Linked DNA regions of Ovis aries. The protein of the gene in region 3 interacts with the protein of the main gene of each other region in a pairwise test. Links are inferred from orthologs where the notes say so. Each region holds a gene or a part of one and is shown on either strand. Other genes may lie near its edges.

Region 1 (3,751 bases), on a different chromosome or scaffold from region 3:
GCTGAGAATGAACAGATCTGAAATCCTGAAACAAGGAACCAGACTCAGGAGAAGCTGGGCTCCCAGCGCCGGCTGTAGTTTATTTGTGAAATGAATGGGGAACGAGGATGTCAGTCCAAGGGGAGATCAGGGGGTTCCTCCTCATCAGAGTCAAACTCAACATTTTCATCTTTTACCCATCGACCTCGTCCATCTGGGATCCATCCAGAGCTGGAAACACCAGAAAATAGAACTGGTCAGGAAAGGAAGTTTATTAAATTAAGAAAAGCATGTGTGCGAGTGCTCTGTCATGTCCAACTCTGTGACCCCATGGACTGTAGCCTGCCAGGCTCCTCTGTCCATGGGATTTCCCAGGCAAGAATACTGGAATGGGTTGCCATTTCCTTCTCCAGTTGGGAATCTTCCCAACTCGGGTCGAACCTGCCTCTTGTGCACTATAGGATTCTTTACTGCTGAGCCTCCTGGGAAGCCCCAATAGTTCTTTCTATCTAACTGTAGTTAATTTCCTGAACTATTTGAAAAAAAAGTTACATATGTAAGGAGTCTTTGTGCATGCATGCACGTGTGCTAAGTTGCTTCAAGAGGAACTGACTCTGTGACCCTATGGAATGTAGCCCGCCAGGATTCTCCAGGTAAGAATACTGGAGTGGGTTGCCATGCCCTCCTCCAGGGGATCTTCCTGATCCAGAAATCGAACCTGCATCTCCTGCATTGGCAGATGTCTTCTTTACCACTGTGCCACCTGGGAAGCCCCGGGGGATAAGTAAAAACACTTGAGAAGCTCTGAAACAAGGAGGGTCAGAGATAAAAGGGAAAAACTGAGGAAAAATTCTGCATACTCACCTTCGAAGGGTGAGGTAATGATCCAGGGCCCGTCTTCTTGTGGGGCTCATAGGTGCGGGGGATGAGACAGTGGCTGACTCCTTGGTCTGTGAGCCAGCCTCAGGCTCAGGTTCTCTACTGATCTTCCCACCTTGGGGTTCAGCCTCTGCGGGTGGCAAAGGGGGACGAGAGACAGAGGGACGAGGGGCTTCCGGTCTGGACAGAGAAGAATCGAAGTCTGTAAAAGCAGTAAAGGAAAGGGCCTAATCTCCTGTGACTCCCAACTCCTTATAGGAGTGCTTCCCAATTTTGTGTTCCTCAAGATATTAGTAAGTGTTCTGCATAAAAAGAATTCTGGAATCCAGTAAATTTAGGAAAGTCTAAATCTTTTAAGGTTTTTTTTTTATCTTATGATTTTGTAGAACCCTTAAAATACACTAATTTTTAATCAAATAGGATTACAAAGCACTTTTTTAGTTACAAAAATCTTTTTCCTGAAATACAAGTTAACACCCCCAGAACACTTAGTATGTCTCAGATTACAATTAGGAAAATAATCACTTTAGAGCTATCTATCTCTTGTCCCTCCCTACCTCTGGCTTTCCCATCCCACTAACCTGTACTTCCGGCGGCAGCAACTGTTATAGTGAGGAGCTCTGTGCAGAGCACTCTGAGTGATAAGTCGAGTCTGGGTTAAGAGAGGAGCCTGGCATGGAGACAGCAGAGTCAGAGCCTTCAGAGCCAGAAATAAGCCAAAGTCCTTTAGCCTAAGGTGTGCAGCACAGTCCTGCCTGGAACACAACTTCCCCTCTCTGATTACCTCTGCTGTGGTCTCTTCTCTCCTGAGTTCATTATGCTGTCTTGGATTCTGCTCTGTGCCCTTTCCTGCTGGCTTCTTGCCATAGAAAAGCTGCAGGCCTGAGGAGAAAGGGGAAGAGGATTAAAAGCAGAGCACCAAGGGTGGTCTGAAGAGATTTTAAGGGTTTACTCTATTGTCTGTCTTTTCCCAAACTTACTGGACAGATGTTTTTTGCCTGCACGGTGGGCAGTCAGCATGGCCAGAGTGTCCAGGACGGGTCGGTGGGGACAGATGGCACAAGCAAAGCTGGGGAGTAAGAAAGATAATTGGTCCCTGGGGAGTGGAGTCTTGGTCATAGGTCCCACCCCGTCCAAGCATTCATTTCCAAAGCCCAACTCCCAAGTCTCCCAGTCTCCATCACCCACATCCCTGTTACTCACTCCCAGCCAAAGAATCCTAGATACTCCCGCTCTCCTCCTTAATAACAAAAGTTCTTGAGTCTCTAACTTCAAAACCCTTAAACTTGATCCACTCCTCGCTCTCACCGTCCATCCCGTAGCATCAGCGCCTCATCCTCTGGGATGTAGCTGGCAAGCAGGTCCCCGACCCTTCGTTTCTGCAGGAGACAGGGGAAGAAGTCCGCACGGGATCAGCTGGATATGAGGGAAGGATAAAAGGGAAATGATAGAGACGAGGACTGAAAGGGAATAAAGACCATGGGAGAACACACATCTGCGGTGAAAAAGGGGTCACCACCACCTCTAGTCTTTTGGTTCCCTCCACTCCGCCCCCCAGTTGTTGCCACAGCAACAAAACAGCTCCTTTACAGCTTTCAGAGGGCAGGTGAAGCTGCTTCGGAAGCACTCCTCTCCGCATACTTTGAGCACATTGAGCTGACTCCAATCGTCTCCTTCCCTCTTGAAAGACATCAAGACTGTGAGCCCCAGAAATCAAAAACTCTATCCAGCCGCCTTCGCCACGCCTTTCAGGCCACCGTAGCAGGAGTGGGTCGTCTCCGTTCCTTCCGGTCTCTTTCCTGCTGGCCCCCTGACTTCCGGGGGTGTGCTTCCACGAATGCACTGCGCGATCCCGGAAGCCAGCTTCTAGCCGGCCGAGGGGGACTGTATTTCTTATGGTGCCCTGCGACCTCACCGGCGCGGGGCCTTTTGGGAAATGAAGTCTTTTTTCAAAGAGCTTGCCGCCGGGCTGGATCCAGGCCCTTTCGTCTTGGCAGATTCGAGGCGTTTGGAATGACAAGAACCTAGATGAGGAGCCCGAATTTGAGGGTGTGACTGATTTGGTTTGGAGAATACCTTTGAGGATCTCTGACGGAGAAAGAGTGCTACAGACTCTGGCTATTGTCACGCCCTTCGCCTGCAACCACAGCCCATATAGGGTGGGCCTGATCTGTTCCTGACCCTAGAGGGCTAACCCCGGGACCGGGCGGAGTCGGGGTATTGGGGAGCCTGGAGGTCGGGCTGCCAGACGTAGGGGCAAATTGAGCTGCGTGTTAAGGAGGCTGCTAGAGTTCAAAGGTCAGGGGTCAACGTAGCGAGTTGTTGTGGGGAGTCGAAAGTCGGAGGGGTGCTAAGGAAAGACTCAGGTAGGGACTGAATAGTCGGAGTACAGATTTGTGGGAAGGGGACTTGCAGGGAGGAGAAGCTACGGCTGACAAGTCGCGTATCGCCGGGGGAGGCGGGGAGACTTAAGAGAGAAGACTGAAAGAGAGGAATCCTCTAAGATACCCATTCTCGGACCGCGAGCCCGTCATTATCGGTCACTTGGCCGGGCCTCCCGGGGTTGTAACCTCAGTGTCCGCAGGGTGAGGAGATGGCTTCTCCCTCTAGACAGGCCCCCCTCGGGGGGTCAGGACTGCTTCAAGGGAGCCGGGCTCGTTCTTATGGAAGCCTGGTGCAGTCTGCCTGCTCCCCGGTGAGGGAAAGACGCCTGGAGCATCAGTTGGCGCCCGGAGACACCCTGGCTGGACTAGCACTCAAATACGGGGTGACGGTGAGTCTTCCAGGATTGGGACGTAGACACCCAATTAGAAGAGGTTTATTCCTCATGAGAATGTATGGCCCTCTAGGCAACTTCCCCTGAAATTTTCTTAATTGTGTTTATATTAACTAA
Region 2 (3,651 bases), on a different chromosome or scaffold from region 3:
TTCAATGTCAGTCTGTGTGGTGAAGAAAAGTCACCACGAATTAAAAATTCTCAACTGGTGAAGCTCTTTAGCTACTACCACACTCCCTCTGGTATAGAAGGAAATGGCAACATACTCCTGTCTCGCCTGGAGAATCCCATGAACAGAGGAGCCCAACAGGCTACAGTCCAGGGGATTGCAAAAAGCTGGACACGACCGAGCAAGTAACACACACCCGCCCCCCTCACCCCTGTCCGCCCTCTCACGTATCCCAGAAAGCAAGAGCTGGAATAAACCATGATCCAACACCTCTGTACACCAGTTTAGCTCCAACAATCATCTACATCTAGTTTAACTCCATTTAGTTATTTACTGGAAGGAAAGTCACAGTGCATTAGTGGAGAGTTTGGCTAAGTCTATAGCCACTTAGTTCAACGTTTCCTTTGACTTGTCAGCATGCAAGGTAACTCAGGGTCTTAATTCTCCCAACTAATAATGATTCTTGTTCCCAATCACTGTTTGATAAGCTTCAATTACTTTGTTTTATTTAAGTGTGATGGAGCCTTGTGAGTTTCCTGTCCTTTGGAAATTTTTAGCACTTCAAAGCTCAATTAACTCCTACTCCATGTTCTACTAATGCATTAGAAAAGGTTGCATGATACTCTGGAATTGAAGCCAGAGCTGGGTTCAAACCCTGATTTGGCCAATACAAGGTATGTTCCTGAAGCAATTAACCTAACTTTTCTGAGTACAGATCCCTCATCTGTAAAATGAAAGTCGGTATCACTTGCTCTTAAGGGTTGTTGTAAGAATCAGAGACTACATGTGAATCAGAGACTACATGTGAAGGTCACACAGTAGGCATGTACTAAGTACTTCTGATCTCCTTGGTATAGTAACAGAGTCTTACATCAACTTTACAGAATAGGGCCAGTGCCCTTACCTGGCTCTCTCCTTTCTTGTATTCCAGAGAAGAATCCAGCAGCACAATGCGAGGGTTCTTGATATAGCGTCGCATTCGTGGATGGGTCACATCCTTGTTGATCATGACTCCACGTAAAACACATGAGTCTTCAATGATGCCCCCAGGTATCTGAGCAAAAGAATTACTTTAATCCACAACCAGGAGACACTTCTCAACTTCCTTTTCAGACATTCATCTTTCCCAAATAACCACCATTTCAGACTTCTAAATTTTCCACAAACCTCAAAAACAACTAGCTGCAAATCACCTTTCTCTCTCTCTGGGAAGCACATCAATCTTAGACCATGACACACAATTTGAAGGTTGGCTGAAACAAGTTCAGTGCTTCACAAAGATTTAAAGGGGCACATATCACTACCTCTTCAAAGAGATTTCCACGAATTTTAGGTATAGGGCTCCCTCTACTGGTCAGAAGTTATTAATGCTACTTTTAAATCTTAGATGGAGAAAGCTTTATTAGTGCTATGGTGTGGGGCCCTTATCTCCTGACCTAGTGTCTGATATGCACACAAATACAGACCAAAAAAAAAAAAAAAAAAGCCTTTCCCTTGCCCCTGTAAACCGTGGGTAGAGACAGCAGTGAAGCTAACAGAATTATTTCAGATACCTCTTTAGCACCCTCTTTTTCAAGATTTTTGTTTTCCAGATAGTAAATACTCTTCTTCCTGGTTCTAATAATAAAGGTGTGATGCTAGGAAATAATTTGATTCCAAAGTACACACTTGGAGAGTTTACCTTTTCTACCCTTGCGTATTTCTTGATGTCAATCTCTTTCCGGCCATTCTCCTCAAACTGTACAGTTTTGACAGCATCCAGGGCAATGTTGCAAGCCAAAGAAGACCACCGACTGATTACTTTGGTAGTGATGGAGCTGTTGATGATGTTCAGCATCGTATCTCGGTTACTGGTGTCGACAGGGATACTGGAGAAAAGAAAAATGGGTAATATGGTTAGGGGGATCTTGGATATTTAAGAAATCCCTCATCTACATCTTGACGGCTGTAACAGGGGGCCAACAGGCAGAAGGGGAAATTTGTTCCTTCATAGGAACTAAAGTGTTATCAAGAAGTAACCTTGTCCATCTTCTGCTTTTTAGAAAGCTTACAATTAACCCATCCCTGGAAGGTGTCTCAAATCCCTGAAAAATCTGCTCCCTTCTCTGACAACTCTCCACATTTACCTGAGCTTACAGTACAATATTCTCTTTACTTTCTACTCCAACCATATACACTCTATATAACTTTAACAACTTGAGTCAAGACACACCTCATCTTTGAAACTTCATCCCTTAACTAAAAAATCCTGAAAGTTAATAGACCTTGGATACCATCTTGTCCAAATTTTCACATACTGCTGAAATCTCTTTTATTAACAGTGTAAGACACATAATAAGCAATCATTAAATAGTTGTTGAATCATGTATTTTAGAGAAAAAAGCAATAGCTCCAAAAGTTATTGCTTGATAAAAAGAAAAATGTTAATGATTCAGCTCCGAATATTCAATAAATCCTTTGTATCTCTATGTTCTTACAAAGCTTACTTCATAAAACTACCTTCAATCAAACACCTCATTCTCTAAGACTGCTAGTTATCAAGGACTTTGGCTCTTAATAGCAGGCAGTACAATACAAAGCTCTCCACACTGCTGGGTACTTGCGTATCCAACAACCCAAGATATGAGTATTACAGGTTTTATTTTTTAAACAACTGTTTTAATAAAAAAAGTTTTGCATTTTGTATCATTTTCTCATTTAACTGACATTCCCTTAAGTAGAAGTCACACATTTTTATATTCTTTTTATTATACCTTATAGCACTCAGCAAACACAGACCAACAGCAAGTTCTGTGATAACTAGACTGGATTCAAACAGCATTTTCAGTACCATCCTTTTCATTTTAATGAATACAGCTGACTATTATCCTACATAACACTTTGTATTACAGAGAGTACTGACTGGAACAGTTATAATCATACACGATGGTAGGATATTTTAATATCAAATCCTCAATAATCAGTTATCTAACTCCTTGTTTCTCCTACTACAATCGAAAACTTTGGAGTGAAGCTCTACTTCACTTACTCTACATTCCCCAAGGCAGTGTCTAACATGGAAACCAGCACACTGCATGTAACCAAAACATGTTTTAAAGAACTGAACCTAGCTCCTTTGGATCCTTGGCTGTTTTCTAAAACCTTTTATTCCCCTTATCCTTCCCTTCATCTTGCTCCCGTCTTTCTCCCTGCAAAATAAGACAAACTACTGGTGATGTGCCCGGCCTTCCTTTACCACCTAAGAGCAGATCAGTCTTCCAGGCCTTCCCTGGTTGACACCACCCGCTTCTGGTCCCCACCTCCAATACCTTATTTTCTTAAGGGTGCTGATCATATCATCCAATGCCTTGCGGTAAGCACTGATCACCACTGTTGGGTGCATCTGCTGCTCCAGGAAGTGCTCAGCCACAGACAGCATCTCCCCAGCTGAGAAAAGACATATATACCATAACATCTTAAAAAGTTACCTGGATAGCAAAGCTTCTAAAATACCTGCTCTTCTTTTCTAAAGCAGGTCTGCCCCAAAGGTATGCCAACACTGTTTCAAATTTTGTACTCTACACAAGCCAACTCTGAAATAAAGTATTATCAGATACATTTTAAATGACTAAAGATTGATCCTACGGTTTACTT
Region 3 (3,651 bases):
TTGCTAGCTATCATTAAAGACTGACTGATTATGCAGCTTTATTTTAATCTGAATAAAAATGCAAAGATTATTTAAAATAAATATCATGCACTGTGAAAGCTGTATTGAATTCTTCAGAGGAACAACACAAGAAAATGAATTTCACTGTACTGGATTCTATGTACCTAGAGGTCTCAAACTGCAAGATCATAGATTTCAGCTCAGGCAGGATTACTTTGATGCTAAATGAATAAAGTTGGTAACTTGCCCATCTCTTCCCTTTGCTAATAACTTCATGTATTACCTATGAAATGATTTTTATCGTATGGCCTCCATGAACTCATGAAGATCAATTACTAAGTTAAAGAAAGTTAAAAACAAACAAAAATAAAAGTTGTTTGCCCTAAACAGTAACCACAATTTCCAAGTAAATGACTTTTTGACCCCAAATTTAAATATGACAGGTAGTCTAAAAAAGTTCATTTGGCTCAATCCACTTTTGTCTGAAACTAATAATAACATGAATAACATATTCCTTAGTTGCCAAAACAAAGTGCTTTTGCCTTGTTTTGTTTCATACTTTTGAAATAATACAAGATCATTTTACTTACTTCTGAATTTTATCATTGGCCGTTCGGGAGGCCTCTACAGCACGCTGAAGCTCTAATTCCATGTTTGCTCGATCTGTCAGAGCTTGCTGCAGTTGGGTAGCCAGTTCCTCATTTTGTTGTTGAGTGATGGAAACAATGTTCTCTCTATTTTTTAAAGCTTCTTCATAGGTACTAAGTGTAAGATTAAACTGATCCTTCAAATTTTCTTCTTGGGATAAAGATTTGTGTAAACTGAGAAAATATAAAAATAAAAAAATTTAAACATAAATATGTAGGCTTACAAACCAATAATCTATTAAACAAAAATCTCCAGTTAGAAAGATCCATTTCTAAAAATCAATAAAGGCATACTTAAATGGATAAATGAAAGTAATTTTTATATCACAATATTATACTTGATAATTATCCATTTCTCTGCTTCTAAGCTGAAAGCTACCCAGACAAATGATTATCTTTGCTACCAAAGCATACAAAAAGATGCTGTAAGATGTTAATTTAATTATATCAGTGTAAATATTACATTCAATTTTCTTTAAAAGGAATAGCAAAGAATTGGAAAATAAAGTATCTCTAGGTAAATAAAAGAATGTAATAAGCTGACTGCAAAGAAGTGAGAAGTAAGAGAATGGGCATCAGTTTAGTAGATCCAGGGTCTAATTCAGCTGAACACTTAATGAGAATGAATGAGGTTTGTACAAATACTGAGAAGCCTTATACACAGCATTTTCTACTTGTCACAGTTGAGATATGAATGAGGTTAAAATTACTAGTCAGACCGCACAGAAATAATATGTATTCAGATATATTTTCTTTTTGTTAATGAATCTTACTCCAAATACACCCACTCATTAAGTCATACAGAGAAACAGCATATAAATTAAGACCAAATGAATGCAGAAGAAAATGCAGACAAATAGAATCCTAAAATGCTAAAGGTCAAATCTTTGATATGTCATTACACCTACCACCTGAGGTTATTTTGAAATGGCACCAAGCACCTCACTCAATTAAATAAAGACATTTTGAAAATATAAATATTTAATAAGGGGAAATTTAAAATCCACACAGGAGATGTTCTTTTTTTATTAAATAAAATCATTTCAGTATATGCATACAAAAGAAATGTCGATGGGAGACTCGAAGTAAAACAACCCAACTATATAATACAGATTGATAATGTTGAAAGAAAGTAATCTAATCCTTAAAGCTGCAGAAAGCTTGTCAGGGAACTTTAACTCTGGCCGAATATCTAGCCTAGTACTTTATCTAAAACTTTTCAAACTAAAGTAATTATAAATTTCTTCTTGCTTTAGCAACCTATACACCTCTCCAAGGTGTTCACTTTGGAGAAGGTGTCACAAGGAAATAAGATGGACCTGAAGCAGGGACCGTTAGCACACCAAAAGAAATCATTCCAGAATTCAACTTAATCTGGAAGAGAGAATGCTGCTACACTGTGGTCAAGTGACTGATTATTATGTATGAAATAAACATGGTGTATGGTGCCAGATTGGCGGAGTGCAAAGAAAGTATCTTCCTTTGTGCTTTTTCACCTCCTTATTTATGTATCTAACTCTTATTTCATTCTTCTTTCTACCAATCTATATACTTAAAGACTTCTGTCTCTTGCTCATTTTCCTATTCTTTCTCTGTCCTCTCATACCATCTACATTCTTCCAACTTCCAATTTCTTTCAATCCACTCTTTTTGTTTACTTGAAAGACCCAAGAAAGAAACTAAAAACAAAACAAAACCTCTAAAAAGTCTATGTTCTTTACTTTTAAATGTCATTCAGAAAACGAACATCATGGCATCCGGTCCCATCACTTCATAGGAAATAGACAGGGAAAGTGTCAGACTTTATTTTTGGGGTCTTCAAAATCACTGCAGATGGTGACTGCAGCCATGAAATTAAAAGACACTTACTCCTTGGAAGGAAAGTTATGAGCAACCTAGACAGTATATTCCAAAGCAGAGACATTACTTCGCCGACTAAGGTCCGTCTAGTCAAGGCTATGGTTTTCCAGTGGTCATGGATGGATGTGAGAGTTGGACTGTGAAGAAGGCTGAGCGCCGAAGGATTAATGCTTTTGAACTGTGGTGTTGGAGAAGACTCTTGAGAGTCCCTTGGACTGTAAGGAGATCCAACCAGTCCATTCTGAAGGAGATCAACCCTAGGATTTCTCTGGAAGGAATGATGCTAAAGCTGAAACTCCAGTACTTTGGCCACCTCATGCGAAGAGTTGACTCACTGGAAAAGACTCTGATGCTGGGAGGGATTGGAGGCAGGAGGAGAAGGGGAGGACAGAGGATGAGATGGCTGGATGGCATCACGGACTCCGATGTACGCGAGTCTGAGTGAACTCCGGGAGTTGGTGATGGACAGGGAGGCCTGGCGTGCTGCCTTTCATGGGGTCACAAAGAGTCGGACACGACTGAGAGACTGAACTGAACTGAACTGAAAGAACAAAATACAGAACAAATACAGAAGACTCCAGTCCTTACAGTTGATCCCCTTCCCAAAGGTAATCACTAATTCAACCTCTATCAAGATTAATATTGCTTGTTTTTGAACTTTTTGTTTGACGTATTTTACCTAACATAAAGCTTATGAGATCCATCCTGCTGTTGCATGTAGTTCTCCCCCCCCTTTTTTTTCTATTAAGTATTCTGTTACATAAATATACAGTAACTTATTTCACCACTCCAAGGTTGCTGCCATGAATAAATTCTCATATGTATCTTTCGATGGACCTACGCACTTGCTTCTTTTTTGCTTGGTTTTTGTTTCCAGGTTTACTGAGATATAAGTGACGTGAGCACTCATACCTGAAACAGAATTTCTCCTTAGGATATATGCATGTCCAGATTTAGCAGATCCTGCAAAGTTTCCCAAAGTGGTCACACCGATGTACACTCCCATCACAAGGGAGTTCGAGTGGCTCTACGTGCAGCCTTAGAGTGGGATTGCCAGTTCTTTAAACGGTGGCCATTTTAATAGGGGTACAGTGATATTTCATTCTCTTAATGTTGTCTTTTGATGAATACAAGTTCTTAATGC

What was found.
Region 1: the proteins of MIPOL1 (region 3) and SCNM1 interact in binary tests that used the Homo sapiens proteins (3 or more experiments, as listed by UniProt). The two-hybrid records come from large-scale screens. The link is inferred for Ovis aries from reciprocal best matches to the Homo sapiens genes MIPOL1 and SCNM1.
Region 2: the proteins of MIPOL1 (region 3) and CCT3 interact in binary tests that used the Homo sapiens proteins (3 or more experiments, as listed by UniProt). The two-hybrid records come from large-scale screens. The link is inferred for Ovis aries from reciprocal best matches to the Homo sapiens genes MIPOL1 and CCT3.

The regions. Positions count from the first base shown.
Region 1 is NC_056054.1:101,064,029-101,067,779, reverse strand, and holds SCNM1 (sodium channel modifier 1), read right to left. Parts: upstream 2,671-3,751; 5' UTR 2,551-2,670; coding exon 2,449-2,550; intron 2,275-2,448; exon of another isoform or gene 2,238-2,274; coding exon 2,167-2,237; intron 1,928-2,166; coding exon 1,839-1,927; intron 1,741-1,838; coding exon 1,643-1,740; intron 1,529-1,642; coding exon 1,440-1,528; intron 1,039-1,439; coding exon 844-1,038; intron 211-843; coding exon 111-210; 3' UTR 56-110; downstream 1-55. Other genes in the region: LYSMD1 (lysM and putative peptidoglycan-binding domain-containing protein 1), read left to right, coding at 3,452-3,631. UniProt on the Homo sapiens protein: As a component of the minor spliceosome, involved in the splicing of U12-type introns in pre-mRNAs. Plays a role in the regulation of primary cilia length and Hedgehog signaling.
Region 2 is NC_056054.1:106,308,918-106,312,568, forward strand, and holds part of CCT3 (T-complex protein 1 subunit gamma), read right to left. Parts: intron 3,445-3,651; coding exon 3,327-3,444; intron 1,887-3,326; coding exon 1,700-1,886; intron 1,073-1,699; coding exon 923-1,072; intron 13-922; coding exon 1-12. UniProt on the Homo sapiens protein: Component of the chaperonin-containing T-complex (TRiC), a molecular chaperone complex that assists the folding of actin, tubulin and other proteins upon ATP hydrolysis.
Region 3 is NC_056071.1:45,410,061-45,413,711, reverse strand, and holds part of MIPOL1 (mirror-image polydactyly gene 1 protein), read right to left. Parts: intron 822-3,651; coding exon 591-821; intron 1-590.